Astyanax mexicanus: one gene and its partners. The protein of the gene in region 2 interacts with the protein of the main gene of each other region in a pairwise test. Links are inferred from orthologs where the notes say so. Each region holds a gene or a part of one and is shown on either strand. Other genes may lie near its edges. The genes, in order: fas-binding factor 1 homolog, cyclin-dependent kinase 2-interacting protein, ATR-interacting protein and cluap1.

Region 1 (7,784 bases), on a different chromosome or scaffold from region 2:
ACTGGAGATGTGGAGATCAGTGAGAAATGGATCATCAGAAACTCACGATCGCCTGAGGCTCCAGCTGCTGCTTTGGCTGGTGGTTTGGATGCTCCAGAGGCTTTACTCTGTGCTGGGGCTGAGCTGGGCTTTTTCTTTGAGCCAAACAGATCCGCATCCATATCATCAATGTCCTGTAGGGAAAAAAACACACACACACACACACACACAATTATAAATACTTCTTTTCTCCGTATTTTAGACATTTCCATTTCCCATCCCCTCGTCAAGACATGTCAGACGTGTCATCCGTGCTATGTTGGGTATGGGTGAAGGCTAGCATTCCCAATGATAAAGCAGACACTTTAAGCAGTTAAAATAATTATGTACAATTAAACTGATAATGCAAATAATAATAATAATAATAATGATAATAATAATAATAATAATACATGGAAAAATTGCTAAAAGTAATTGGAAATTACTAAAATATCATTATATTCTATGGTTAATCATTTCAGAGCTAGCACATTTAAGGCACATTTAATTCTGAAGTATAACTTTAAAAAGTAAACAGACGACCACCTTCATACTCTCCAACAAAGCCTTTGGATCTGCCTCAGACACATCAGAACCCTGCAAAACAACACAAGTCACTATTTATCTCTCTTAATTACCTTCCTTAAGCCACTTAAAAAAATAATACCACTCTCTCACCTCATCATCTTTCTCCGCCTCCTCCGCCAATTTACTGAAGAAATCATCATCATCCAGCAGAGACCTGTTTTCAGCAGATAATAGACCTGACAGATCAGTTTAAGTATATAGATAATTTCGAAAGTATGTGTATTTGAAGGTATGTATAACTTTATTTTATTAAAATTAGAAATATATATTTTCACCTCTTGCTGCTGCGTGATGGTAGGACTCCAGCGGGAGATCTGGTCTTCTTGGGAGGATCTAGAGGGCAAAAAGCACTTTTTCAGATACATTTTTTTACTGAAGTTCAGTGCAGATTAAAATGAAAAGGGTTTTAGTTTTTCACAAAATTAAGCACAAATGTACACTACAAGGATGCACTGACACAGGGAATCTGACATTGCAATGTACTAACATTTATTTACACTGACAACATGAAACATAACACAACATAAAAAAACACATTTTCCTGCTTTCAGTAGCAAACCTGTAAAAATGGTGGTATATATTAGGCAGTGACTGTCGATGTGTTGAAGCAAGAAAATGGAGAAGAGAAAGAATCTGAGACAATCTGACAAATTATGATAGGAAGAAGGTATGCAGCTGTCAGTTGCTGAAAGGTTGGACAATGTTATTGATATCCTATGTGATTAAAGGAGGCTGACCTCTCAGCTTTTAGGACAAACTTTTGCGTTGAGTATTTCTGGAGTTTTGTTGTACTATTTCTTATTATTTTAGCTTATCCACCTGAGACCCGGGAATTAAATTTTGTGCCACTCTTCTAACTTTTCTAATAACTGCATCAAAACGGTGACCCAATGACATTACCTAAACATTTGCATTCTTCTTTTGTGATGCTCTTGCAGGCAGTGTGTTTTGGGTCATTATCTTGCTGCGTGATGAAGGATCTCCCAATTCGTTTAGTTAAATCTTTCTTTAATTTGACAAAAAAAAAAAAAGTAGACTTCTGAGTACCCTTTACATCAAATGAAGATTAATCCCCCCAATCCCAGAAGAAGCCATGCAAGCCCAAGCCATGAGATATTCACCCCTGTGTTTCACTAATAAGTTTTTTACTCCAAAATTTAGCCTTTCCATCACCTTTGTAAAGGATAATGTTTGTGTCATCAGTCTATAATCAGTCCATAGACTTCTCTCTGTACTTCTTGGCAAATTCCAGCCTGGCTTTCCTATTCTTATTGTTAATTAGTGGTTTTCATATCTGGTAAAGCCTCTGTACTTTTGTTCATGAAGACTGTTATAGCTTCCCTCCTGCCCTCCTGTCACAAACAGTTGTTTTTGTCCCTTTCTTTACAGCATGCACAATGTTTCTGTCAACTGTGTATCAGACCCAGATGTAAATACCTGGAAATAAAAGCTAAAATGTTGATCTTTTATCTCATATTCTTCTCTTAATATTAAACCCAAATCATCAGCAGAATTGTTTGAGGGCATTACAACGAATTCTGTCGAGCTTTCAGTTTTCATAATCTGCTCTTGAATTTTGTCAATGTTCACATTTGTGATTACCGAAGTCCTGTTGTGCACTGAAGTGCACATATTGTAAAATGTAAGTAAAATTAGTTAAAAACAAAATAGTCTTTCCAATATGTTTGTTACCACCACAACACTTGATTTATATTTTAAAAAATCTAAATATATTTTCCCCCTTCTACATTTGGAATCACAGGGATAAACAGAAGTTCTTTTTACATTTTATGCAAAAGTTATACAAATAACACACAGGAATCTTACCATCACTGTCTCCCAAGAGATCCCCCAACACGTCATCAACTGACCCTAAAGCAAGGTGAAGTCTGGACTCAGTATGAACACAGTATGATGGCTGTAACAGGTTGTGTATGTGGTCCTACAGTTGAAGCACTTACCCCTCAGCCCCTTCTTCTTCTGCTGCTTTAAACTCTGCAGTGGTTAAAAGAAAGAGAAGTTTATAGTTAATATGATGCTTTATCCTTCATACTAATACTTACTATTATATACATATTTTTGTATAATAAAATGTTGACATTTATTGTTATTTCTTAATCAAAGATCAGTAACTTAGTCCTTCCAGGCTACTGTATCCCTATATCTGTCTCTATATGAGTCTATCTATATCCTGACCTATCCATAATCATAATCTATCTATATCATGATCTCAGGTAGCTCAGGAGGGCCAGGTTACACTGCTAGCTGTCTGTCGGTGGAGGATATGCAGTGAATCTGTGCAGTAAACAGAGGCTGTGAGACTCTTACCATCTCCTCCCTGCAGTGTTCAGCTCAGCCCGCAGAGAGTAAATCAGAGCAGCCTGAGCGTCCATGTCGCCATTGGCAACAGCATGTCCGGCTAAACCCACATTTCCGCTCTTCTATAATTATTTATCCCGCTTTATCGCCACCTCTTCTCTCCATAAATCAAAATGACTGAAGATATCAGGCTTCTGCTCCCCTGTCCGCCTCTATTCTTCCACTATAATACACCTGGTTAGCTCATTAGTTCATTAGCTAACGCTACCTAGCGTCAGTTAGTCAGCTAGGCTAAGCTAGGCTAGGCTAGGTTAGGTAGTTTCAAGTTAACTGAACCTAGTCGTTACTGGTCATGCTAAAGGAAGCAGCTACGAACTTGCTTAATTTTATCCCAAAATCGCCGGTCCTGCAGCCGATTACAGACTGCTGTCCTCTACTACACTTTTAAACCCTGTGTTTTGTGCTACGTGCTATGTGTTTCCTGTGTTGAATTGTGGGTAATGTAGTTCGGAGTCAGTTTAATCACCTGTCAAATATATTCCTTTAGTTTTAGATATTAGAATAATCTATTTCGCTAAAAGAAGCAAATAAACCATACCCCTATATTTTTAGGCACTGATTGGTTGGTGAGTTGATGCTGGAGATACAGTCAGAGCATATTTAAAAGCCCTATAACTAAAGTTTAAAATCTTTAAAAATTATGTCTCCATCACTGTAACAGTTAAATAGATCTGAGGATTATTCTCCTCTCTCTCTCTCTCTCTCTCTCTCTGAGAATACCCAACTAATAGGCCCTTTTGAGTTTGTACAGTTTGAATCATTGTTATACTGAAGAGTTTACTCGTTTTCTCATCACTAAACAACATCAGACATTCAAATACAGCTTTCAAATGCCAGCTATAAAGCTTTAAAACGCACTCTCGCTGTAATTCCATCAGCTCACAGTAGCAGTAATACAGTTCCTTTACTGCCTAAAACATACTGTAAAAAAGAAGTAAACATACGGGTACGTTTTTTAAGGAATATATACCCTGGGCAAGTAGATAGTATACTATTTTTAGTTTGAGTTTCAAATAATTATCTCCATTCACCTCCATACACCACTGCAGTCATGTCATTCTCTAGTCCTTGTATGCCCATATTTGGGGTTTCGTGTCTAAGCTGAATTTTTTCTATGGCTTGAATGTGAATGAGCTTTTTAAAATATCGCCTCTATTAAATTCTGTGGTCAATAATTATGTTCAGAGCTGCAGTACTCATTGAGGGCTAACTTGTGGGCTCCCTCTAGCGGTTCACAGTCATTTCCCGCTACAACAGGGGTTATAATCAATTCGTAAATTATTATTATTGTTTATCAGTTTAGCTTTCTGACGTTTTGAGGATAAATGCGAAAATTTCACTTCAATTTTTTAATTTTTAGGCAGTAATGGAAACAGTAAAAACTGGAAAAACAAACAAAAACACAATTTTCTATTTTCAAATTTAGCCTCAAGTGGTCAGAAAACTGAACTGACAAATGTTACACTTGCCTGTCTTCAGTATTTAAACATGTAGCTAGTAAGATTAAGTCATTGATGTAACATTAAGTCATGCTATGATGTATTTAATTATCTAATTTTATCAGACTTTTATGTCAAAGTGTGAATGGTAAAATAAATAAGGGTTTATTAAAAAAACATTTATTTGTTTATTTAATTACACAGATATATTTATTTGCATTTATAGTTACCTACTTTATTTCATGAAATGAGTACCAAAAGTAAAATGGTCACATTTTAAAATTCTATTTTCTTTATTGTTTAGCTATTCTGTTATTCTGTTTTTCATAAAATAATTCCTGTTGTACATAAAGCAGGAGTGATTTACAATTTTCTTATGCAGTAATACATTTTTTATGTTTAAAATTTCTAACATAGTTTGTTTTATGTTGATTTATTTTTCTAAAAATGTCAATATTATTTCATTTTTTTTAATTGAAAAATATATAAACAAAATTATGGATTACAGGACTACAATCAACATGTTTTGAAATATGTGGTTGCAGTGCATAACACCACCATCTGCTTATGAGCTATCACATAATGTGGGAGACTGTGGTTTAATTCCTGGTACACCAGTAGTTCCTAATACACCAACCAGTAAGAGTCCTTGGGCAAGACTCGTAACACTACATTGGCTCACCTCTGTAATAGGAATAACCTTGTAAGTCTCTGGTTAAGAGCGTCAGATAAATGATGTAAATGTAATATGAATTGAGTGTGCAAAAGTGATGAGGAATTAACGTCAGATTGGAAAGACAATTAATTGAAGTTAATGTTAAATGTTTAGCATTAATTTGAAATCTGTTAAATTACTGATTTATATTTGGCACTGTTTGCTGGGACCACCAGGGGGCGACGGCAGCACAGTTATTCTTATTCAGCCCTCAACAGAAAAGGCAAAACTTGTTATTCTTCTAGAAATCTGTGTACCCAGTTTACCTGCTGACAGTCCAGCTCAAAACCAGTTGGTAGCTGGTTTTATTGGTACAAACTGGTCTTGATGGTCATGGTGTTGTAAAAGCTGCTTATTCAGAAGAAAACATAGACTATACTGGTGAACGCTGCTATGGAGGTTGGTTTATGTGCTCAAAATTATCATCAAATAATCCAAAAAATGTTCACCCAGACATGATTTAAAAACTCTAAAGATTCTTACAGTAACCATCATGTCTTAAAGGGCTAAGGACAGTCTCAAACGAACACAAAGCAGCCTAGCCATCTGCATTAGAACTGCACAGACAGGCCTGATGGAATCTTGGAATGCGTGGCAGTTGCACGTCTCCAGGGGTCACAGGGGTTAAAGGACCTCCCTCCAGCTATAAATGCTTTTCATGCCAGGTTGTGAGAGTGGCGAGATATGAGCAGATATGAGAACGCTCATACTGTTTTCCATTTAACTCGAAAGTCTGATATCAGAGCTGGGAAATAAGTTACATCATAATTGACAGTGTTCCAGTTAAAAATTTAGATAACTATACTACTTTATTATAAAACCTTTTCAAAACTGTGTACTGTGTACTGGTTTGACAATGATTTAATGTTGTTATGCGCAAAACTTTATTTTTTTTGTATGTTTGTGACTGTGTTCCAGGTCCAGGTAAATTTTTGTACAAACCTTCTAATTCAAAGGTTTTTTTTTTTTTATTTAATTTGTTTATACATTGTAGATTAATTCTAAATGAAAACAATTAGGGACACATATGGAATTACGTAACATTAAAATTGTTTGTCCTCTACGATCTCCTGATCTAAACCTGATCAGATGAGATTTGGGATGAGCTGGAGCTTCACAGCGTAAAGGAAAAGCAGCAAATATTGTTCAGCACCACCAGGAACTATTCCAGGTGACTCTACCTCATGAAGACACTGAGATTAAAATACCAGTAGAGATCTATTTATGTTATGTTATGTTTATTTGATTTTAATGTTAAAATAAATCCAATATGATTAAGATGGTTATGTTAAAACTGTTGCAGCTTTTCTAAAGATTGACTTTATTTTCATTTAGAAACAATATTTTTCCACAGTACATGGACTCAATCAATCCCTATTTTTGGGAAAAACATATGGTTTTTAATTAGCCGCTTCCATGCTATGTACTGTATATTGGTTATCTTAGCATAGTTTAGCTTTTAGTTTTATGTTTACACATATTTGTTTAGTGGTTAAGTGCAGGGAAGTGTGGTGCTCTGTTTCTTAGATGCAGTTTAGTTTGCTTATCCCAGTTTGAGACACTTTAGAGCACAGCTTTAGAGCTTTTTTTTTAGAGCTGTTATGTTAAAGTTCTTTTGCCTTTTCTTCTTTAATTTTGTATGATTTTTTTTAACATGTCACTTTATTGTCCTGTATTTTATATCCAGGGTTATCCTTAGCATTGACCCAGTTTAGCCCAGTGTTACTGATACTAGTGAGATACTTTGCCAATAAAAGGGAAAACTGTTTCACATGGTACTGAAGAAGCAGGGATGCAGGAGTACCCTATAGCACTTTAGTTTAAAATTGTGCCAGCCCCTTAAAGCCTTGGCACATTATGACCCATCACCCAGAAAACCTAGAGAAATATCGACCTGATTAGCTGAAATTTGTAAAAGAAGTTCAGAAATGTAGCTATGGGAGTTTTCTTTACTATCACAATGTAGGGATCCTGCAGTGAACGGCTGCAGGCTGTAGCAGCTGGTTTAAGCACTGCTGACCCTCACATCCTTCAGGCCTTTAACTTAATGCCTGTGACTGATCACAACCTCATGTGTGACTAACAAACCTTACGTCTCACTCACCATGCTGCTGGGTGGTGGTGAGGGGTAGCTAACTTAACTAAGCTAAGTAAAGCTAACCTAGTAACAAAACCGTGATAAAAAGACTTTCTTTAAAAGTAAAACGCACAAAATTAAAATGAGCACTGACGATTTTTGGGAATATTAAAGAATTTTAAGTGCGCCTTATAGTGCAAAAAATACAATATCTCAAAAAAGTTAACATATTGTTAAATAATGTTGTCTAATACTAACATAAATCTAAGTTTAATTAAATGTATATTTCTATTAATTTAATAGTAAATCAAGTTCCTTGTGAATATTGTACACTCATTCAAAAAAGTCAACATTCAAAAAAATCAATCACAAAATCATTTATTCAACAGAATCACCTGTCCTTTCTCACATGTTCTTAAATCTCATTAGCATCTTGGCTTCCAAAAAGCAAAAAAGGCTAATCTGACAATGAAGCCTTTGCATGGCTGGGGAATCAAAGAAATATTATTGTGGGTTGTAATATTATTGGATGTTATGTAATGAATTATAATAGCTTTTGATTTATAGT
Region 2 (7,744 bases):
AAATATTCTCATTTAGAGCATTTATTTACAGAAAATGAGAAATGACTGAAATAACAAAAAAGATGCAGAGCTTTCAGACCTCAAATAATGCAAAGAAAACAAGTTCATATTCATAAAGTTTGAAGAGTTCAGAAATAATCAATATTTGGTGGAATAATCCTGGTTTTTAATCAGTTTTAATGTTTTTATGCATCTTGGCATCATGTTCTCCTCCACCAGTCTTACACACTGCTTTTGGATAACTTTATGCTGCTTTACTCCTGGTGCAAAAATTCAATTTGGTAAAATCAAGGAAACATCATATTTAAGTGATGATATATTTTAATAACCCTGCCTCCTATTGGATAATAATTACTGCATGGCCGATTTATCTTAAAGTCTTATAACTCCCAACTGGTGCAATGAGCTGCTTCTCTTTTCTTAAACAACCATATGGAAATATACTGCGATCCTGTGTTCGTGGAAAAGATGTCAAACTGTTTGAGAAGGGTCAAATATTATTGGCATCATGCATCAATAATGCAGAGAAAACATCTAAAGAGATTTTAGCAGAAACTAGTAAAATTGGGGTAATAACTGTCCAATGCTTTATTGTTAAAAACTGGATGCTTAAAAAAGACCCATCATCTACGAGGAAGAAATGTGGCCCGGAAAAAAAAGTCCTGAATGATAGTGATCAGCAATCACCAACAGTAGAACTCAGGGCTATGTTGTGTAATAGTGAAGGTAAGAGCTTTTCCATGCACACAATGCAGTGAAGGGAACTGAAGGGATAAAAGCTGTGTAGCTTTAAGAAAACCACTAATCAGTGAGGATAACCAGTAAAAAGGCTTTAATTTGCTAGAGATCCTAAAGATTGGACTCTGGAGCAATTAAAGAAGGTCAAGTGATGGCCTATTGAGTCCAGATTAACCCTATTTCAGTGTTGGTATTATTCTTACCAAACTGTTGGGTAGACCAGGTTTGGAACAGTGGCGCTGGTCTTCCTTGCACTCCAAACTGAAACATCTCCAAATTATACACTCCTCTCTCATTAGAGACAATCTTCTCCATCTTCAGCAGAATGTGGGCCTTTGGAGATAGGAATACACAACTATATGTTACAGAGCATTCATAAAACATCATAATTACTTCTGCATTGCACAAACAGTGGTATGAAAACGTTTGGGAATCCCCTGATAATTTTCTTTAATGATTTTCCTTTATACATCATTGGTTGTTGGGATCAGTAATTTCAGTTAAATATATCATATAGCAGACGAACACAGTGATATTTGAAAAGTTAAATAAAGTTAATAGGATTTACAGAATCTTACCATTTTATCTACAATGTTCTGTAGATTGACGCATTCCTCCTCCAGCTCCGGGTTGCTCTGGTGCGCTCTCCTCTCTGAAGGAGCTTCTGATGAACCTTCATCTACCAACACTATATCTGGTTCCTTCACAGACCTGTACCCAAAACAACAGATAACATGAAGAGCAGAAAATCTGAACAGAGACACATCAGAAAAATACATACTTTATATATACAGCTCTGTAGAAGAATAAGAGAGCACCTAAAAATGATGAGTTTCTTTGATTTTACCAAATTAAAAACCTCTGGAATATAATCAAGAGGAAGATGGATGATCACAAACCATCAAACCACCAAACTGAACTGCTTGAATTTTTGCACCAGGAGTAAAGCAGCATAAAGTTATCCAAAAGCAGTGTGTAAGACTGGTGGAGGAGAACATGATGCAGAGATGCATGACAAAAAACTGTGATTAAAAACTCTAAATGAGAATATTTTTATTTGTAATTTGGGAGAAATGTTGTCTGTAGTTTATAGAATAAAACAACAATGTTCATTTTACTCAAACATAAACCTATAAATAGCAAAATCAGAAACTGATTCAGAAACTGAAGTGCTCTTGCTGTAAATATTATATACATTTATGTTCAAAAACAGAACCCAACGTTTCACTTATTCTGTAGTTGACAATTTTGTTTGCGATGGCCGATCCCTCATCAGTCAGGCGCTCCCACTTCAGGATCAGGTTGTGCCAGTCTGCAGCGTTGTCCTTCAGTTTTCTTGCGCTTCCAGTTAAATTGCCTTTTCTTCCAGGGGGCGTGGCCTCAGAGTGTTTTTCTGATTAAACACGTTTTTTTACATAGAAGAAAAAACAGCTGTATTTAGGGATGATGCTGCAAACAAGCTTACAAAACACAGTATAAGGCAAAATATGTTAACTATCAGGTCATATGAAAAAAAAGGCTTTAAAACCCACAGGAATACTATGTTTTATTTATGAAAAAATAATACATTTTTTCTTTATTTTCTTACTAAAGATTATTATTGGATTAAAGGAACTTTGATGTAATATTCAGTTTCTTTACAGGCATTAATGTACAGATAAGCATGCTTTATTACTCTCTGGCCATGACTTATTTATCTAATTCCCACGAATTATTAAGTTGTGGCCACACATCTTGTTCCCACGCATTATGTTTTTATTCCCATGCCTTAGTAATTAATTATCTCTATTATCTTGTTCTCATGCCTTAATAAGTTGTGGCCACAACTTAATTATTTGAATCACATGCCTTTATAAGCTGTGGCTACACATTAGTTTCTCATTCCCGAGAGTTAATACGTTATGGCCACACATTAGGATCACATTCCCATGCCTTAGTAATTAATTATCTCTTAATTATCTCATTCATACGCAAAAAAACATTATAATCTCGTTCCCATGCCTTATTAAGTCATGGCCACGCATAAGAATCTCATTCTCATGCCTTAATAAGTTGTGGCCACGCATTAGGGTCTAATTTCCACACCTTAATCTGTTTTTTAAGCTTGTGTTCACACTTATGTATAATAACAGTAATTCAGCCTTTGTGGAAAATCTAGAACATTGAATTAACATATCTAGATATACTTTCCCAAAATTTGCTGAAATACTGAATAATTACATCTGAAAAAAAAAAAATAAAAAAACAGCATCTTAAAAATAACATTTCAGTAGAGGTGGGTTACCCAGGTCCAGAAAGTAAAAATCCACCCCAGGGTTTTGTAGCTGAGCTGCAGCAGAGCCGCCCAGGCAGTGAGTACTAAACCCCGGGGTGGATTTTTACTTTCTCGACCTGGGTTACTCACCTCTACATTTCAGTGAGTAAAAACAGTGTTTATATAGCAGGAGTTTATTACAACTCCTGCTATTATTCAACACTGAAACAACAACAGACATTACACTAACCACATTTCAGTGTTAAAGGTAGTTAAAGGTTTTCTTACCGTTCATTTTTGCTCGGTTGTTTCATTAATAAAGAGAAAATTATATTTTTAATCCTGTTTAAACTGTTTTCACTGCATGCCGGACCTGTTTCTTCCTCTCTATCCTCCTCATTACACACTAAACTCATTACTGCCCCCTACAGCACAGACCCGCTTTACACCGTGTTATTATTACCAGTTAATATAAATAATATAAAAAACACCCATATTAATGTACTATTATAATATAAAATATACTGTATATCTGTATTAGTCCCTAAAATTTCTCTCTCAAGCCACCTCCAGACAGCCTGTAACTGTTTTAGTTGAGTTTTTTCTTTTACCCTTTTCATTTCTTTTGTTTTTTTATTTATCAAATTTTATATTTTACCTTTTAGCCTTTTTATTCATATCATCCCTTTATTTTGTTTTATTACTGGTTTTACTTTTGCCCTTTTACATTTTTATTTAATTTCTCTCGTCCTTTTTTTTATTTTATTATATATATATATATTAATATTAATATTAATTTCAACTATCTACAAATGTGGAGGTAAAAAAAATCCGTAACACTAAATTTGACCACTTTTTTCCAAAGAATCATGATTTTTGGTTGAAATTCTGGTGATACTGTTATTACCAGACTTAATAGTTAAATGCTAAAGACAATATTTTGTGTATGATTTTCACTACTTCAAAAAAGGTCTGCTCTCAGGCTTTTGGAAATCTTGAAGAATAGAATAGAATATATTTATTTGTTTATTTGCAGTGCAGTGATTTGTGTTTTTTTAGTTCAATATATATTGAACAGTTCAACAGTCTTAATCTGTGTGAAGTGAAAGAATACACAAAAAAAGAAAAAAACAAACCATGTCTATTGCAAAGGAAGTCATGGAGATTACTAATAGAAAAATACACATGGCCGATGTTCACATTAGAAGTGAAGCTGAAGTGACTCAGATTTTCTGCTCCGATCAGATTTTTTCATGGCTGTGTGAACGTGTTAAATCAGATTGTAATGTGAACGTAGCCATGATGTTCATTTGCAGTAGTTTCTACATTATTGAAAGAAGGACAGTATTACTGAGCAGTTTGCCAGTTTACCACTGGAAGTGCTTTTATTCTTTTATTGTAAACCTTTTTAAACAACAGAGACATAATCATAATCCACGATGATTGAGCTTTATGAGAGAGGGAGACCCTCTGTGCCGGATCTCTGACGGGGGGTCAGTTGGTGTGTGTGGGGTGCTGGTTGCTGGCGTGTGATTGGGGCTGGTTGCTGTCGCTCATGGTAACTGCGTCTCCTGAGGACTGGGACTGGTACAGTTTATAAAAACGCTTCGCCAGGTGATCGGCCTCCTCCACCCCCTCGCAGCTCATCTGCCAGCTCCGGGGAACCGCCTCGATGCCGTAGTGTGCCCCGGCAATGGCGCCCGCCATGCAGGCGATGGTGTCGGTGTCTCCTCCCAGGGCCAAGCTGTAGGCTATTGTCCTCTCCAGGCCACCGTAGCGCTCGGGCAGGCCCTCCCGAGGCTCCAGACAGTGCAGAACGCAGAAGATAGCTGTGGGGACTGACTGCAGTGCTGCAATGCCATTTCCTGCACACAGAGAGCTTATTAGCACAAGACAAAGACTGAAAAGAGATAAAAATAAAAAAAAGTCACACAGTATAAATCATATGCACTTATTTGCACTTATTACACAATTTGTATTTGTATTTGTATTTGATCCCCTACCAACCATTAAGAGTTCAGGCTCCTACAGACCAGTTAGACGCTCCAAATTAACTCACTACATGCATTAAAGACAGCATTTCTCAGGGGGTTCTGGGATGATTTTCTCTTTTTGGGGGTTTTTTATCCTCTGTGATTTTATTCCCGTCCAGAACGACCATGTATGTGCTTCACAGACGTCCTTTGAGAAAATTACAGGCTGAGTGACCTACTGTACCTGAATACTACCTACAGGGCATCCTTCATCATGAGGAAGGTAACAGATCAGCCTAAAACTGCAAAGGAGGGAACTTGTTAATGATCTCAAGGTAGCTGGGACCACAGTTGCCTATAAAACCATTGGGGACATATTACGCTGAATGTAGGTGTGCTGGGTGGGTTAGTGCTGGTGATAAAACTATCTACTTGTACAAATAAAAGAAAGTGTATTTTAGCTTCTTATTTTTTCTACAGCTCTGTTCTAACATTTTACCTTTTAAATGGTTTAATTAAAAGTTGTACATTCTATACCTAACTACTTCAGACCTGATTTTAAGAATGCAATGTAAAATCCAAGCAGTAAAACTGCTGTTCTGTCATTTATGTTGCGTCATGATTTTAATCTTAAATATTTAAAGCCATGCTCAGTGAATTTATCTGATTTAATTTTAAATAATGGTATCAATAAGAACACAGAATTTCATGAAAATAACATCTCTCCAACTGTCTGTACTATAGAACCTTGTGTATATGAGTATAGAAGTGTTTAGAAGTGTAATATAACTATTTTTTTATTTTTGTTTATTTTATTTTATTACTATACATTTGAACAGGATATCATGGTGGCCTCAGTCAGCACACAAACAACGAAATAAGAACAAAGAAATAACATCGTGAGCAAACAAGATACTAACCAAGTTCGGATATGACCTCTTCAACGCTCACGCTGCTCCTCTCTATCAGCTCCTTCACTCGGTGTAATCGTGCGCAGTACGGAAACTCTGCTAAATTCAGCCTGTAAAATAATATATATATATAAATATTGCAGAACTTTCAAGGCTCGAAAAACAGAACGTTAAAATTCAAGCATTTTTTAGGATTTCAAACACCCGTACAAACCCTGGTTATTAGTCTTATCAGAAATCTTATGTAATTAACTATTTCTATATACTTCTCAGTATTATAAATGTTTTCTATTTACTGCTGTAATCACCTTCTCCACACAACACAAATAAAACAGTTCTATGAAGAGTTAATAACTCACGCTTTAGCGTCACGCTGGGCCGAATCCTCTTTTTCCACGACCTCCATCTCAGAGATGAGTCTGTTGATGAATTCCTGTGGCAGGGACAGGACGCCCTGCAGAGACAGGTGGACAGCGAGACCCTGCAGCACGGCGCCGTTGTAGCCCAAAGAGCAGGAGTGTGTGAGCATCGCACCGAGCCTGGAGTACTGCCATACACACAAAACATTAGCTTCACAATTATAATTCAGCTACAATTAAATAACTATCATTATGACGTTTTATATATTTTTCAATTCTGCTCAATTCCGCATCCAGGACCGAATTCGGGCTCCGTTAATATGCTGTCAGTACAAACACTCACTCCACAAAGCTGCGCTTTACTACAGTCAGGGTTCATACAGTTTTTAACTGAAAAATATCTATGATTTTACATGTCTTTTCCATGCCTTTCAGGCAAATTTTCATGACCATACAATTTCTAAAACATCCGTGCAGACATGGACAATAAACCAGAAATTAACTAAAACTATAATTAAAATAGATTACAGTAGGCCTAAAGTTAATTTAATTTAAAAGCAATGTTAATACACAATTTTCAATAATAAAATGTGTGTCGAATCCTGAGAGCTCCATCATGCAGGGCTTAATTACTTAACTAATTCTGAGCTGATGTATTTGTTAGCTCAAAATAGCTTCTCTCCGTTGATAGATAAAAAAAAACAGCAACACAAAGATTTGTAGTTAAAAAACTGGGTATTTTTATTTTTCCAAAACTTATTCAGGCCTGGAAATATACTGAAAAGGAGATAATATGATAAGTCGAAGCATTCATAAATAAAGTTAAACAAAGGAACCAATCACACAACCCCACACATAGCAACAGGAGCGGATAGCTTTCAAACCTGTTCTTAAAATTATTCTTTTAATTCAGTGTTTCATTCATTTCGCCAAGAGTATCGAAATCGTATAGCGAAAATACCATAAAATATTGTGATATTATTTTAGGACCATATCGCCCACCCCTAGTGCTTTGTAATAGGCCTTAAGTCATATATTTATCACTCAGCTGCTCTAATATTAGCCATTGTGTATAATATGTGTACAATATAATTAAATAATATTAGGCCTCACTTTCCGCACTTCAGCTGCGCTTCTGAAGGCGAGGGCGAAAGGTGCCACTCTCATTGCTCCACCATTCCCAAATGATCCACGTCCTCCGAACTGAGCCCGAGCCGGCTGAAACACGTCGCTGAGCTGAGGAGACGCGAGCTTCCGCAACACCTGAATGACCCCTGACCCATAGCCCCGGCCCGGGGCGAGACTGTACTCCTTCGCAAAACTGGAAATACAGAATTAAGAGTAACAGAATGAAAATAAAAACACAACTAAACATAAGCACAGTCCTGAAACTGACGCCATATCTGAACATACCTGCGAGCCATGTCCTGCTCATCAAACCCCACCCGGGTCAGCAGTGAATCAGCCACACAGCGCATCATAGCCGTATCATCACTGTACTGTAGTATA
Region 3 (7,296 bases), on a different chromosome or scaffold from region 2:
TTAATGTTCAAATACCTTTCTCTTTAACTCTGCTTGTTGAGCCTCCAGTCTGCTGTAATCCAGCTCATCTCTGTCTTTAGACAACTGACCATTTCCTTCAAAACAAAGAAAACGCTGAGTATTCTGGAGTATGTTATTACAACAGTATTTATAATACTGTGACCATAGTGATCAGGGCATCCATGCACAAAAAACAAAAACAAACAAACGAAAAAAAAACGTATGGCCTATTATGACAATTACATCATCATAATTTCGGCTGACATTAATTTTGCACATTTGTTATCTTAGAAAATGAGCAGTAATTTTGTAAATTAAACAGCTGATCCCGTTTAATAGGATGCTGAATACTGAAAAACTGAGCCAATCACATTCTCATTTTCAACTCCCCTAACACTGCCTAGCCAATTACAGCTGCTGCAAACAGTCAGCAAATAGATGGTCATCCTGTTAAATGTGGATGTTTAAACTTCTGTTCATTGCTGAGAAAATACTACATTTGTTACATTATGTGAAATATTTGCCAATCAAATAAAAGTGGAAATAAAAATAAAAAGCCTTCTGTTATATGTTTTATTTCATTTTATTTTATTTATCTATTTAAATTGTTCACAATAAGTAATGATATAGGTTCTACAGTCGCATAAGTGTTTTTATAAAGTTGTATTATTTCTACACATACACATAAAAAAATTAAGAAATGAATAAGTAATTAATTTTAAAAAAGTGTGCTCAGGTGCTTTGTGGGCTTGCCCACAGTGATGTCAGTCCAAAATCTTTAAAATGCTTACCAAACTTTTTCCTAACACTGTAAAACCCTTCCACACACACATGCACACACCCCTGGGCTGTGATCCAGCATTTTCCAAAGTAATAGATATGGTTTACTGATATTCTTGTGATGGTAAATGCAATACATTTCTCACAGAAATGTACTTCTTTCCTAGCAAAGCAGAGTCTGTTGATGCAGCAAAGGGGGACAATCTACCTTTTATTTCTCTTGATTTCAGTAGAAACACTGGGTAACCAGGTGTCTAACATTTGGAGATATGGTGAATACAGTATGTGCATACTGGATTTCTGTGTTTTTTATACTAACCGAATGAATCATGGCGCTGGCGCTCCATATTGTTATACATGCTGCTGGTGCTTGAGCTGCTGCTGCTCCCGATGGCAAAAGTCTTTCTGCCCTGCTTTACGGGGGCTTTGCTCTGCTCTGCTGGATGTGATGAAATGGATGCAAATGTCCTTTTCGTACTTGTAAGGTGACCATCTCCTGTAATAGCCTGCGATGCTATAATATCAATCTCTTCCAGGTTATCCTGTGTAAAGTCCTCATCATCCCCAAAGGGGTCCTGCTCCACTGGAGCTGTGTTCTGTGGGCCTCTGAGGCGTTTGCTTGGAGGATACTCCATGTCATTGGAAGCTTCTGTGGAAATTGAAAGAACATGTTGAATGTAGTACATTTTAAAGCAATAGAGGTCTGTCAAATATCCAAAAAGATTTTGCAAATATCAAGCAAACAGCTAATATGTGGCAATATAGACGCTGCTCCAAAAATAAAGGAAACAGTAAAACAGAACAGTCTAACTTAAAATCAACCATTGAGAAAACAATCAAATTCACTTGCTGTTGTGCAAATATAACAGACAACAGGTAGAAATAAGAAGCAATTAGTAAGACAACCTCTATAAAGTAGTGGTTCTGAAGGTGGCAACTACACACCTTTTCTCTGTTCTCATGCTTTCTGGGTGATGTTTTGGTCATTTTTGCATTTTTGTTAGTGCGCTCACCCTAGAGGAAGTAGTTTGCTCAGGTAGTGCAGCTCATGTAGGATGGCACAACAACGCGAGCTGTTAAAAGAAGGTTTGCTGTGTCTGTCAGCACAGTGTCCAGAGCATGGAGCAGATACCAGAATATGCGGGGTGACTGGCATTTGCCAGAAAACGCCAAGATTAACAGATTTGTTATTGGCTCTTGAGATGCCATGGAGAATGTTCTGCTGCTGCATCATCCTCCAGCATGACTGGTTTGGCAGTGGGTCAGTAATGGCGTGGGGAGGAATTTTTTTGGAAGGCCGCACAGCTAGCCAGAGGTACCCAGACTGCCATTAGGTACAGGGATGAGATCCATATGATGAAAAGATTTTCAACTGAAATATTTCATTAATTGAGATCTAGGATGTGTTATCTTAGTGTTTCCTTTATTTTTGAGCAGTGTATATTGTTATTGTGAGGCATTACATCACAATACACTTTTTTTTATTTAATGTAGATATTGTCAGTACTACAGTAAATTTGTCCTGCTTAACTGCATCACAGTATGCAAAATATGAATAAGACTTCACTGTGTTCAAAGTATTTGAAGTATTTTGACATTACTAGTTATTTAATTAGTTATTTAATTTGTTTCAACTGCCTAGATGTTAGTTTAAACAAATATGTAAGTGATTTCTTGTTTTTTTGTTTTTTTTTTATTAAACCTTTAATTTCACCTGGCGTGTCATTAAAAACGTATAGTTCTTATTTACAATAATGGCACATAAAAACTGTAAAAGTAAATGCATAAGCCCATCAAACATTTACTTGCATTGGTTAAGCTATATTCAGTCCTATTCACAGTCCAACTGTCCATTCCACCTTAAAAAAATACATGTGCCTAAATAAAACTGCTGCACTTTTTAAGGTGGACTGAGAAGTTTCAACAAATTTCAGATAAAAAAGGGTCAAAGGTGATTTTATAATGGTTAACTACCAAACCTTATTAAATATGTTAACCTCTCTCTAATATCTCTAATATCTCCAGTTAAGGAAAGGAGAATAAATTGATACTATTGTCTTTTTGTGGGACTCATAACACATGCTATGCTAGCTAACGCTAACTGACCTAGCTAAGCTCACAGACAGAAAGCAGCGCGGAGAGTCGCCAAGTTTAACAGGAGTAAGAGGAGATAAAATACTGTATAATAAAGCTGTTAGATAAGTTCAGTGTAATGTGTATTAGTTACTTACTGAGACAGAGGCGCAGGTTAATTCGGAGCGGGTTAGCCTGTAGCTAACAGTGAGAGTACAGCAGCGGCTAACTCCAGCTCTAGTAAAACCAGCATTTTACTGCGCGAGTCTGGGTTCACATCTGCAGATGTAGTTTATAACAGAAAGCCGGGTTCGGACCGGCCATACTGGACAACGGCTGAAAGCTCTCTAAAGCAGCAGGTTCAGAAAAACTAGCTGAACTTCAGCGGATGAATATCTCTGAGGGAGAAGGCGCCGCTTGTTTCGAGCGCAGTCAAGCATGGACGCTGTTGATTGGTCAATTCCGCAGTCTCCAGCAATGATGCAGGAAAATCGGCTAATCTAATTGGTCAGTGCACGGAGGGTCAGTATAACATTTATTATCAGTTTAATTTTCTGACCATTTGAAGTTAAATACTCGAAATGTGTGTGTAAATCTCAAATATATTTTTTATTTTTTTCTATTTAAAATAGTAAAGAAAAATATGTATCTATTATTTAATTTTCAAGCATTTTTTGTGTTTCGGAAACAATTTTACAAATTTTTTAGGAGAATTTGATATTTTCTCAATTTTAAGATTTTTCCATTTTTACATCTTGTATCAAATGTAATGATATAACTCAAATTACTTTTGTTGCAAGAAAATAAAGAAAATATACATTTTACCTGATTACAGATACATACATCTGATTCTGCAGGTGCACAAGAAGAAGAAACAAATTAAAGAAAATTGGGAAATGGACAAAACCCATTTCTTCTACACTTAAAGAAATAATGAAGTTTTACACCCAATTATCTGTTTTCTGATTTAGCCCGAACATTTTAACTTAGAAATGGTACACTGACCACAGAGAAACTCAGAAACATGCATAGTAGTTTTGTGACAACACACGTGGGCAGTCATTGCTGCGGCACCTTGGAAACAATGAGGGTTAAGGACTTTCCTCAAGGGCCCAACAGTAGTGGCCTGCAAAACACAGGTATCAAACCCACAACCTTGTTGTCAATTCACTCACCCATGCAAATCAATGAACTCATGTTTCAATCATTTCCATGGCCGCAGGTGTATACACCAAGCATCCATAGGCATTTTAGGCATCCATATGATGTCACCTCTGCAACAAGCGCAGTCATAAAATTTCCTCACGACTAAATATTCCACAGTCAACTGTCAGTGTTATAATAAAGTGGAAGCGACTGGAAACAGCAGCTCACTCTGTCAACATAAAATAACAGAACAGGGCCAGCAGATTTTCTGCAGAATCAGCCACTATAGACCGCCAAACTCCATGTGGTCTTCAGATTAGCTAGAGAAGAGTAGCACATAAAGAGCTTAATGCAATGGGTTTTAATGGCTCTAAAAAAAACTAGTTCGTTTTGTTTAGTTGAGGGGACAATTAATACAATTCAGTAAAAAATTCTCTATATATTCACTATTTTTATGAGATGATACACAATACAACATATTAGGGGCTTCATCAGGGGCAATATAGTTAAGCAAAATTAACAAAACTGTTAAAAACAAACTGTTCAAAGCTGTCACTGGTCTTTAATTTTTAATGTTTTAATGTTAATGGATGCCCATTTACCTAAATAGACAGATGAGACAGATGTGCACATATACATATTTTTACAGTCTATTTTTTTTTTTTACAGCAGTTTTGATTTTGGCCATTTGTTTTATTTATAAATTATCAGTGTTTGGCCTTGATAATACTAGGGAAAATAATGGGGAACAATCACAACAATGTCATCATTTAGTGATTTAATGAAACACCTCATACAGAAATTACACATAACTGAGAATAAATCACTTTTTTAAAAAGAAATGAGCTTATATAACGTGTTAAGAAATACATAATACATTTTGGTTTGTCCTGCGTTGTTCATTATTATTATTATTATTATTATTATTATTATTATTATTATTATTATTATTATTATTATTATTATTATTATTATTATTATTATGCAGGTAATAGTCAATGAATGAGAGAGCTGTGTGTAAATACACCGTGTTTGTGACGCGGTTGGCTTCGGCGGCAGCTGATTGGTGGAGGCGCTGCTGTAGCGCTCGCGGTGTTTACCAGCTGAGCAGCTCCAGCAGTGTGGCAGTTGGTCTGTGGAGGGACGGGGAGAAGTTTTAGATCGATAAAAAGTCGATAATTTGCACTTTTCCGTGGTTTTAGCGGTCAAAGGGTTACACCGGGAAAAGCAGGAGCTTCTCTACAGCGCAGCTGGATGAGCGGGAATCTGTAAGTGCTGTTTTAGCGCCGTTTTCTCTTCGTGTTTTGAACAAAGGAAAATCTGCCAGCAGCAGCAACAGCAGTACTGCAGGCCTGATCCCTGAACCCAGCTTTCCCTCTCTTAGCCCTGATACCTGCTCTAATAACTCTCTTATTCACACCTAACCCCTGTTCTTATCGTTTTACAGTTTGAGAAATAATATTTCACCATGAAAACCGAGGTTTCCACGGCTGTGAACTTCATTAGCACACTGCTGAGAGGGACTGGGCTTCTCTCAGAGGAGCAGCTGCACCACTTCAGCCTGTCTCTAGAGGAAGCTTTAGGAGGTAAAACACACAGTATTTACAGTTAAAACACTGCTAATAATCTTTATAGTCTCCCTAAGCAGTTCTTTTTGTCTATAAATGAATATGTTTCATTTGTCAATATCTACTGGTCTATACCGTCTCTAAGCTTTCTTACTTGGGCTCAAATAAAACACATTAACTCCAAAAAAAGTGTCTGAAAAGTGAATTTTACATAAGATATCAAATTAAATCCAGCCTGTTTGGTAAAAAGAACATCATAACGTAAGATAATGAAAAACATACACTTGTCTATAAATGAATATCCCGAGTTTTAGTACTAAACAATGAAACAAAACAATGCTTTACTTTAGGCATCATGTAAAGACAATTACTTGCATCATAATATGACAAGGTTAGTAATGATTGTACATTTGATTAGTCATTTTGTAAACAAAATTCCAAATAATTAATGCACCTGTCTCGAAATAAGCGTAATGAAAACAACAAAAGAACTACAGACCCCTTACATAGACGTATATATATTTTAAGCATATCATTTCCTCTGGTCTGTGTGTTGTCTGAGCTTGTTTTAAAATATGTTTTGAAATAAAGCTAAATTACATCCAGTCTTTTAAAAAATCACTGAGTATCAATAAAACACAAGTAATGTCAAATCTCATTGTGTAAAATAAAAAATAAATTGACGGAAAAGGACTGAGTTTTGCTTTAGATTTCATGTGAAGATAAAGACTGGCATCAAAAAGTAACATAAAATGAAAAGAAGGTACACATGACTACTATTATTGAACATTTGATTAATAAAAAAATACACCTCTCTCAAAATAAGTGTAATGAACAGAAGAAAATGGCTACATTTAAACCCATTAATGTGCATATTTATTAAGAAAAATATTTCCTTTGCCTTATAGGTTGTCTGAGCTTTGTTTTAAATACACTTTGAAATAAGGCTAAAAAGTTTTTAAAATTGAGGTTTATTTAATCTTTTAAATTGAATTTAGCTGTTTACTCAGAAAGGATGCTGTTCTTAGGAGAACACAAGGAAACTCAAATTTGATTGTATTAAAAAAATTAAGAATAACAGAAGCTTTGTGCATTAGAAATTTAAATGGGTACTGTTCATAGCTTAACTAGTTAGCCCTACCAAATGCAACTCCAATTCTGCCAGAAGCTCTAATATATATTTTCATAAGTTTTGATCTTATGTTAACCATATTGATTTCAGTATTATCTAAAAATGAAAACATTTGTCCAAATTCTTGTTTGTTTCTATTGAAGATTTTCGTGTAAATGTTTTTTTTTTCACATTGTGGACAATAAGCTTTTTCTTTTAAATTAAATTTAATTCTATTCTATGTGTAATGTTACTCATAAAAGAGCAAAACATAAATGTTTTTTATGAATAAAAGTGTGTATATACACTTTATTTTATTGGAAACTTCTTAGCAATTTACAGTCCTGAACTCCACTACCACAATCCTACGATCTGACAGTGTTGCAATATTGCAACAATGTACAAAAAGAATGGTGAACAGAAATTAACTATACAATCTTTCTTAATTTCAGAGCATTATCAGCACCACTGGTTTCCAGATGCTCCGTGCCGAGGTTCAGGCTACAGGTGCATCAGGATCAATCACAAGATGGACCCTTTGATTGGTAAAGCCGCCCTCACTATCGGACTGACCAGAGAGCAGCTGTTCTCTCTGTTACCGAGTGAGCTGACCATGTG
Region 4 (8,190 bases), on a different chromosome or scaffold from region 2:
GCTCTCCGGATTCTATCAATGAGGTGTGGAGCTACTTTGAGCCTGGACAAAGGTGTAAAAAGCGATTTATCTGCAGGGGCAAAATATGGCCCATTAAAACCCATTCCAGTCGGTTTGGACAAACTGCACAAAATTGCTGGATCTCGAAAAGCTGCGGGAGAACGGAGTTGGGCTATTCAACAAAGGTTAGTACCCTTTATATTTTTTTACAATATCAAAAGTCCATTTCAGACCGGAGTTCTCCTTTAACTTAAGTTGCTAACACATACACTCTTACAAACACATACACACAACCAAAGAGATTAATGTGCAACCTCTTAACAAGCCAGATGAGTATCTCTGCCACTAAGGGAAAATTGGGAGCCCTGAAGTTCTCCATGGAGATGAGTCTAGGGTATCCCAAGGCACGCATCATTTCTGTAAAACCTGCAGCAACAAACAATAACACACAAACTAGCAAACAAGTGCTCACAACAATGCATACATAAAGCTTTATTAGTTCATCAGATCCAAGAAATCATCAATAGAATGCACATGACTTTCTTTAGGTTTACCAAAAAACTGGGTTTAACGATAAGAAAATACACTCACACAGACTACACATTTGCACATGCTCAGATGCCAATATTTTAGATAGATAGATACAATTTTAGGAAAAGGCTTTGAATTTAACTATTTGGTAATTGCTGTAAACACCTAAAAACTATCCCCCCTTGATCTGGGTATCTGGTGCTCTCTCTCCTATTATGTTTGCTTGGCAGGATAAATATTTCGAGAATTAATATTTTTTCTTGTCTTTTTCTTGCTACCAAACATGCGATTATATTATTGGTCAACTCAGGTTTAACACATTATAAGCAAGTGTACCAATAGGACTGACTCATTACAGGTTAAAATGAAGTCCATAACATTCACTCCCTCTTTTACCATTTATTCATAATGTGAAAAGTTGAAAAGGGTCTATGATTCTTTTGGTATATCCAACACTCTGCTGATTTGGAAATACCTAACCGTTTCTTTTGGTCTTCCCCATTTGCACTTAATCCAAAATGTCCCTCTCAGTTGCATGAGACAGGATTCCTTAACTGGTTTAGTCAAGGAATCACACAGATTTCTGTTCTGTTTTCTGGGGTCTTGTTGCATTTTTGGAATATTCTAAAGAGGTATAGTTTTTCCAGATATCTTTAAATTAGACATTTCCTTACATCTCTACTATATAATGGGGGTTGTGAATGAATCTGACAGGGAATACATTATGTTGTCAAACGAATCTCTGTCTTCTTTGCTAAACTTGAAGGGTATTTGACAGAAAGATTTGGAAATGGAATCGGAGCAAAACTTATGGGATTCTGCTTGTGTAAACCTTTATCCCCAGTGTACTTCAATTTATTTGCATGAACTTAATTTTAAGCCTGTGCAACCTAAAATGAAGTTCATGCACAGAATCTACTTATTACCAGTATGACTACACAGGATAGATACAGAGAGATCAGATCTATGTTTCACTTGCCAGACACAGAGGGGCACATTTGTTCACTATTTTTGGACCTGTAGCAAAGATTTAAATATTTTGGGGGGAGAAGGTCACTCAGCAATTGAGGACATTTTGACACAAGGTTTGCTATGTGCCACTCATTTTGCATTGTGCCTGTTGAATGCCATTTTTAATTTTCATTTTAAACAGGTTTTTACTTTGTTGGTTTTTATAGCAATAATTTGATATATTTGATCATGCTTACTTCTTAGATCTCTGAAAGACATGGTTGCCTTTTCTCCTTTTCCAAATATCTCTCTACCAATAATTGAAGGCTTTCCTCAGTCCCCTATGGAAAAAGACAACAACAAATTTAGTAACAATTTGAGCCACTAAGAAAGTATATCCAGTCTTGGAATAAAATGAAGTGTAAAAAGGGCAGTTTCCCAAACAGGATTTATACCTAATCTAGGACTACATAAAATTTTGATTTTGTAGATTTTACATCAAAAGGAATATATAGTCTACAACTAATCCATCCTAATCCTAGTACATCTGAAATACCAGCTCACATAGAAAATGATTTTGCACTTAAAAATGTTTCTTACAGCCAACTTATATACATTAGAGCAAATTACACAGAATAACCACTACTTTGTTGTTCTAAAAGAAAATACATTAGCTATATTTTTTTAGTATATTCCAAAACGTAAATAAATAAAAACAAAATACTTAATTATCTAAATAGTACACCTGTAATGGTACACCTTTTTATTTCTGAGATTTAGGTTTCATACACAATAAACTATATACATTTCCTTTAAGAAATAAATCCCTTTCTAACATCTCAATTTCATATTTTTTGAATTGGAACTCTGGGTCAATGTAAACGTCCGAAATCTATATATGTGCCAATGCCCATATACATATTTATAACTTACAGAGAGACTAGACTACACACCCTGACTACACACTACACATTTTGATTTTACTTTTTTTTTCTTTTTTTTTTTTTACATGTATTTGTCTAACTGGTCCACAGACTGTTCACAGCTTTAAACCCTCTTTTTAAATAAGCAGTTTAAATAGAACAATAGATCAATTGAAACTTGAAAATGACTAAATAATAATAATAATAATAATCATCATCATCAAAAAATGCTTAAATCAACTAACGTTATATAATTTTAAAGTAACTTAGTCGGCCCGTTGTGGTCTTTTTCCAGCATACGATAAATATATTAATAAATATAATTAAGCACAATTTTAATATGGTGACAGGCCTAGGGGGAACATTTATGATATTAAATAACCTAGGTTACTGTTCTCATTATTCATAAAGGATATTTAGTGTGGCACTGTGAAGAGGCAGCAAGCTTAGGCGTGTTAACTACTAGTGTCCCCAAGCTATCCAGCCTAGATGTAACGTTAATAGCTAGATGTGGGCTACAGCTATAAAACAGCGATAACCTTACTGAAACTTGGTCTGTTATTTGCTAACTAGCTAACCCTTACTCTCTAGTAACTTAACCCAACTCTCACAGTCATTGTCTTTAGTGTATATATTTCTTAATACTCAGAGTCTAAACTGAATTAAAACGTTAGCTTAGCTAGCTAGGTTCGATTAGGTAAGGTTAGGTTGGTTACCTGTTAGCTTCACTAACGGTTATCAGATTACCTGGGCCACAGTTTGCTCGTAAGTGCAGATATTAGCAGCATTAGACTTCTGCTCGTATTTACTCATTGTATCAAAACACAGCCAACATAGGATATATATTTAGCTCTTTTTTTAGTAGTTAATCCTGTAAGTAATGTTTAAAAAGCAAATTTATATCTGATAATAAACACACATACCCAGCGTCTGCGGCCCAGGCCGTCTCTATGGCAGCGACAGTGAGCTACGGCAAGCGCAAGAGGACAAACTGACTGGAAATCATTTACCGCAAAGCAGAAATTCTCATTTTAGTAGAACGGATTACGGAGATTTCATGGGATGCAATGGTAAAAACACGATTTAACAATGAAAAATATAATCTGTCAATATATATATATATATATATATATATATATATATATATATATATATATATATATATATATATATATACATTTGTTTTTTTAAGTTACTCACACTTTAACTACCAAATCAAGGGAAGTTTCTGCCTGTGAGGAAAGGGAACTTTTTGATATTTTTAAGCTATTAATCAAATGTTTCACTAACTATAGACTACTTAAATGTTAAAATGCCCATGCTTCGTAATATTGTTTTATTTTTATTTTATTTAAATATATTTTATGTTTTCTTAAAATTATATAGTAAACTAATTTGATCATCAAAATTCAGCAGGAAGAAGCTTTTGCATTCAAAAATGTTTGCACACTTTTATTTATTCATTCAATATTATGTGTATGTACACATTTATACGCAGGTGTATGTGGGTGTGTTTATGGGTTTGGACTGTATGTGCTAGAAAGGGGAGTGGGAATAAAGAGGGTTTATTATTTTGTTTCTGTTGTTTTTGATGTCTCTATTTTGTAACATAATACAGAAAGATGATAACAACAATAACCACAACCGCAAAAAAGAAGTATGCACCCAAACTGTGTTTTGGTTACATTTTTTGGCAATATATATTGACGCATATACTGTGTTTGTTTTTATCAAAGATGTGGAATGCTATTTGATGCCCTTTTCTGGTTGTAAACAGTAATCTGTTAAAATATGGAACCTGTGCTCTATTTTTGGAATTTGTATGTAATTTTTACTTTTTATTGTTTGTATTTTGCTATGCCTTCTTCCCTCCAATCCAATGTTTCTGTAATTATGTCGCAGTAATATAGTCACAAATAGCTGTACATTTGTACTAGTGTTGTACTAAAAATAGATAATAAAAATAAAATAAAAAAGCTCTTGAAAATAAAACAGTGTGAAGGTTAAACATGTCACTGAAACTATAATGTAAATGGTGAGTGTACATCAGTGTATTAACTACATTACCCAGTATGCCTTGCGGGTACGCTGCGTAGTGCCGTTTGAAAGCGGCGGCTGCTGCAGCGGGAGGAGACCTGAGTCTGACAACAAAACATGAGCAGCCGGAGCGCAGAGAGAGAGAGAGCACTTTAACCACTTTAACAACACAAACAAACTTCTGCGAAGGATATGAAGCTTCCTGAGACATGAAGGATTTTAGTTTAAAATGTGACGCTGGCCTGGAACGGAGCACATCAACAAACAAATAGATATATTTATTTATATATGCTAACTGTGAAAGTTAGAGCTAACTCAGCGCTAGCGTCTGTGCTTTTAGCCTGCTGATATCAACCCATTTACAATCTGCTAATCTCGGTCTGTTTACAATGTCCTCAAAAGGTAAGACTTACACACACTGTTAGTTAGCTAGCACTTATTCTAAATAACTAATCTAGGTTGGGTATGCTGCACTGTCAATACAAGTTAGCTACTGTCAGCAGAACCCTCATCATTTAACTTGCAGTGAACATAATGATAACTGCCTAGATAACCCAGCCAGGTAAGTTAACTAACTAGTTTATAGTAGGATGGTAACTAGCTAGCTACTGAAACAAATATAAAAAAAATTGTATAAATATTTACGTGCATAATGTGTATGTGAAATCAGATATTTACATTATGTCAACATTTCCTGATGAATAGATCAATGGAAATGCTTAAAATTACTTGAAATCAAATCTTTATACTTTATACAAGTGAGACCTGCAGTTCTGTAGATATTGTTCTGGGTTCTTTTGTGGCCTCCTGGATGAGTTGTCCATGGCCTTTTGAAGTAATTGTGTAGGTCAGACACTACTGAGAAGGTTTAGCACTGTTCCATGTTTTCTCCATTTGTGAATAACAGCTCTCCCTGTGATCCACTGAAGTCTCAAAGCCCTAGAAATGACATGGTAATCTTTTTCAACTGATAGATGTCAAAGTTTTTTTCTCAACTGTTACACAATGATAACTGGCTAGATAGTTAGGTTAACTAGTTTACAGTAGGATGGTAACTATGGCTAGTTAATGAAACACCTGCTGGATGGAATTAAATAACATTGTGTAATGATTTATGTTCGTAATGTGTATGCAAAATGTGTTCTTTACATTATGTCAACATTTCCTGTTAGGTACCTGGTTTATATACAGACCAGAGTCTCACTGTACTTTTTGAATAATCTTTTTGTTTAATTTCTATATAAAATACAATTAATTGAAGTACACTGTATATACTGTTATTCCTGATTACGTAATCTTGAACAAGTGAATATTGATATCCTCTGAATCTCTTTTTTTCTTATCCTCTGTGTTTACATTGTTTTTCCTTCTAGCATGGCAACATCCTTATGTTAATGTCTTTAAGCACCTAAAATTGGAGGAATGGAGGAAGGCCAGCAAAGAAGGCGATGTTACAACCTACATGGTAAAATTCTACTGTCATATCAAGTGTTTATGTCTTTCAGTGAAGTAACATCCTATAACTGAAGGCAGTGGATATCAGTCTAACGCAAGAAATTGAAATCTAACATCAGACAGACGTTGAATTTTAGTTGAAAATTACAATGAAGCTGTTGTACAGACGTTAAATTAGGATGCAAATTAAATTTGGTACCTCAACGTCATGACTTCCATTCAATAAGAATACATCATACATTCGTCTGTCATTATTGGTGGTCAGCTGGGGTAACACATTGATATTGTTGATTATTGATTAATTTAATTTTTGTTTTTTGTTTTTTTGTTGGTGTTGTAAAGGACAAGACTCTGAAGTGTTCGGTGTTCCGTATTCGCGGTTCCATTCCAGCCAGCAACTATATTCTCCTGCCCAGAACCAGCAGCCAATCACTGGGGCTCACAGGCCGTTACCTCTACCTGCTGTTCAGACCCAGCCCCAGTAAACACTTTGTAGTGCACGTGGACATTGCTTCTGAGGTGAGAGTAATGTAAAAAGGAGTAGTCAGAGAGCATTATAATATTCTAGTGCTGGGTGATTTTCATGATTATTTTATCGTTTTCATCTAAAATATCCGAAAACGCTACTCATTTCTGAAGTGTTTATCCATCTTATCTTGGTTATTGGCGCCTCCAACAGACTAACCCGCGCATATTTTCTAAACATTCCGCCAAGGACTGAGCTCCTACCGTAAATCGTTCCAGCACTGTTTCAGCACTTTTGACACAAACACCCGGTGGAATAAAGCCTATATTTAGCTAGAATTAAATCCTACCACTTCTAAAAACTTCAGGGTCTTAAACCATTTTCTTTAGTTTGATTTTTAGTAGGGGGAAATTATAATTGGAAAAAAAAAAAAAAACGTTTTTTTTTTTTTTTTTAGACCATAATCGCCCAGATCTATAATATTCCGTGACTAATGTGAGTTTAGGTAGATGAATAAACAGTGAATTAACTGTTTAACTTCTTTTTTACTCTGGTTCAGGAAGGTCAGGTGATCCGTGTATCGTTCTCCAACCTGTTCAAGGAATTTAAGTCTACGGCAACATGGCTGCAGTTTCCCTTCCTGTGTGGAGCTGCTTCGGGCTCTGTCTATGAAACCACAGCCAAATCTGCTAAACATGGTAAACACTACCTTTCGGAAGAAATTTGTTCTTTTCTTACTTTGTTTATTATTATTTTTAAATGTGCTAAAATTAATTCATAAACACACGTAATAAAATCACTTGCAGTAGCAAAGAAAATAATTGGAGACATGATTGATATATGTTTTTTATTAAGTTAATAAATTAAAGGATCTTACTTTATAAATTTTTTCTCTTCAATAATTTAATTACATTTAATCGTGACCAAGTTACACTGATAGAACGTCTGGGCCCATATATAAGTTTTTGTATATTTAACAGTGCTTTAACAGTCCACACTGCTGTGGTGTTGATGTGTGCTTCAGGTTTGGTGGGTCCAGCACCGGCGTCTGTGCGCTGGACATGTCTGATGATGGACCTGCGGTATGTGCTTTCTGTCTATCTAAACAAAACACACAGTCACCTGAAGAGCATCAAACTCTGTTCCAATATGACGGTGAAAAACCTCAAGACTAGTGACCTGCTGCTGGACCCAGGTACTCTTAATTAAAATACTTTTCTTATAAAGTAGTTTTAAACACAATTTAACATTGTAACTCTTGCTCTTGCTCTCTTACGATCTTTCTTTGTAGGCCTGTCGTTCTCAGAGTTCCGACAGGCTGGTGTGATGTTGCCAGAAGGCACAGCCCCCATGCCCAGAGAGATGTGTTTCCCTGTGCCTAAGGGCAGCAGTTGGCATCAGCTCTACGACTACATCAGGTAAACTATACATATAATTCTTTAATACAACACTCTTTAATTCAATTAATTTAAATAAAAAATGATGCTACAGAAGATCCATGTTTAGAGCCATAAAAAGCTGCATCTAGCCATGGTAGTGTTTTTCTAAGGTACAAGCTGTACAGGGCTAAGATAGTCAACTAATTAACTAACTTAGCATTCAGTTTTTCTGTCTTTCTGTGGTCTCGATGTGACTTTAATGCCATGTGAATGTTCTTCACATTCCTTAATATGACTGTGCTATTAAATACATGGAAATAATCCTGCACAATCCTGCATATTTTTCAAAGGTTTCCCACAGATGGTGTGAAGATGCCATTTGATTCTATACAGAAAGGCCTTACCAACCAAACTCCAAGTGAGTGTTACAAATGTACAGTTGCGCTGC

What was found.
Region 1: the proteins of cyclin-dependent kinase 2-interacting protein (region 2) and fas-binding factor 1 homolog interact in binary tests that used the Homo sapiens proteins (3 or more experiments, as listed by UniProt). The two-hybrid records come from large-scale screens. The link is inferred for Astyanax mexicanus from reciprocal best matches to the Homo sapiens genes CINP and FBF1.
Region 3: the proteins of cyclin-dependent kinase 2-interacting protein (region 2) and ATR-interacting protein interact in binary tests that used the Homo sapiens proteins (3 or more experiments, as listed by UniProt). The link is inferred for Astyanax mexicanus from reciprocal best matches to the Homo sapiens genes CINP and ATRIP.
Region 4: the proteins of cyclin-dependent kinase 2-interacting protein (region 2) and cluap1 interact in binary tests that used the Homo sapiens proteins (3 or more experiments, as listed by UniProt). The two-hybrid records come from large-scale screens. The link is inferred for Astyanax mexicanus from reciprocal best matches to the Homo sapiens genes CINP and CLUAP1.

Annotation. Positions count from the first base shown.
Region 1 is NC_064410.1:17,740,984-17,748,767, reverse strand, and holds the start of fas-binding factor 1 homolog, read right to left. Parts: upstream 3,415-7,784; 5' UTR 2,938-3,414; coding exon 2,935-2,937; intron 2,602-2,934; coding exon 2,568-2,601; intron 2,479-2,567; coding exon 2,434-2,478; intron 940-2,433; coding exon 882-939; intron 761-881; coding exon 697-760; intron 616-696; coding exon 565-615; intron 174-564; coding exon 47-173; intron 1-46. UniProt on the Homo sapiens protein: Keratin-binding protein required for epithelial cell polarization. Involved in apical junction complex (AJC) assembly via its interaction with PARD3. Required for ciliogenesis.
Region 2 is NC_064421.1:48,598,866-48,606,609, forward strand, and holds the start of cyclin-dependent kinase 2-interacting protein, read right to left. Parts: upstream 3,415-7,744; 5' UTR 3,288-3,414; coding exon 3,281-3,287; intron 2,132-3,280; coding exon 1,960-2,131; intron 1,450-1,959; coding exon 1,317-1,449; intron 1,072-1,316; coding exon 942-1,071; intron 1-941. Other genes in the region: adprs (ADP-ribosylhydrolase ARH3), read right to left, coding at 4,487-4,857, 5,886-5,986, 6,236-6,423, 7,349-7,556, 7,649-7,744. UniProt on the Homo sapiens protein: Component of the DNA replication complex, which interacts with two kinases, CDK2 and CDC7, thereby providing a functional and physical link between CDK2 and CDC7 during firing of the origins of replication.
Region 3 is NC_064431.1:12,683,779-12,691,074, reverse strand, and holds the start of ATR-interacting protein, read right to left. Parts: upstream 3,300-7,296; 5' UTR 3,012-3,299; intron 2,085-3,011; exon of another isoform or gene 1,794-2,084; intron 1,430-1,793; 5' UTR 1,416-1,429; coding exon 1,100-1,415; intron 96-1,099; coding exon 16-95; intron 1-15. Other genes in the region: si:dkey-42i9.4 (protein BTG1), read left to right, coding at 5,468-5,585, 7,131-7,296. UniProt on the Homo sapiens protein: Required for checkpoint signaling after DNA damage. Required for ATR expression, possibly by stabilizing the protein.
Region 4 is NC_064413.1:14,771,538-14,779,727, forward strand, and holds the start of cluap1 (clusterin-associated protein 1 homolog), read right to left. Parts: upstream 3,410-8,190; 5' UTR 3,329-3,409; intron 3,271-3,328; exon of another isoform or gene 3,122-3,270; intron 1,824-3,121; 5' UTR 1,762-1,823; coding exon 1,740-1,761; intron 427-1,739; coding exon 315-426; intron 1-314. Other genes in the region: wdr90 (WD repeat-containing protein 90), read left to right, coding at 4,832-4,844, 5,816-5,907, 6,240-6,416, 6,923-7,061, 7,388-7,558, 7,655-7,781, 8,093-8,160. UniProt on the Homo sapiens protein: Required for cilia biogenesis. Appears to function within the multiple intraflagellar transport complex B (IFT-B). Key regulator of hedgehog signaling.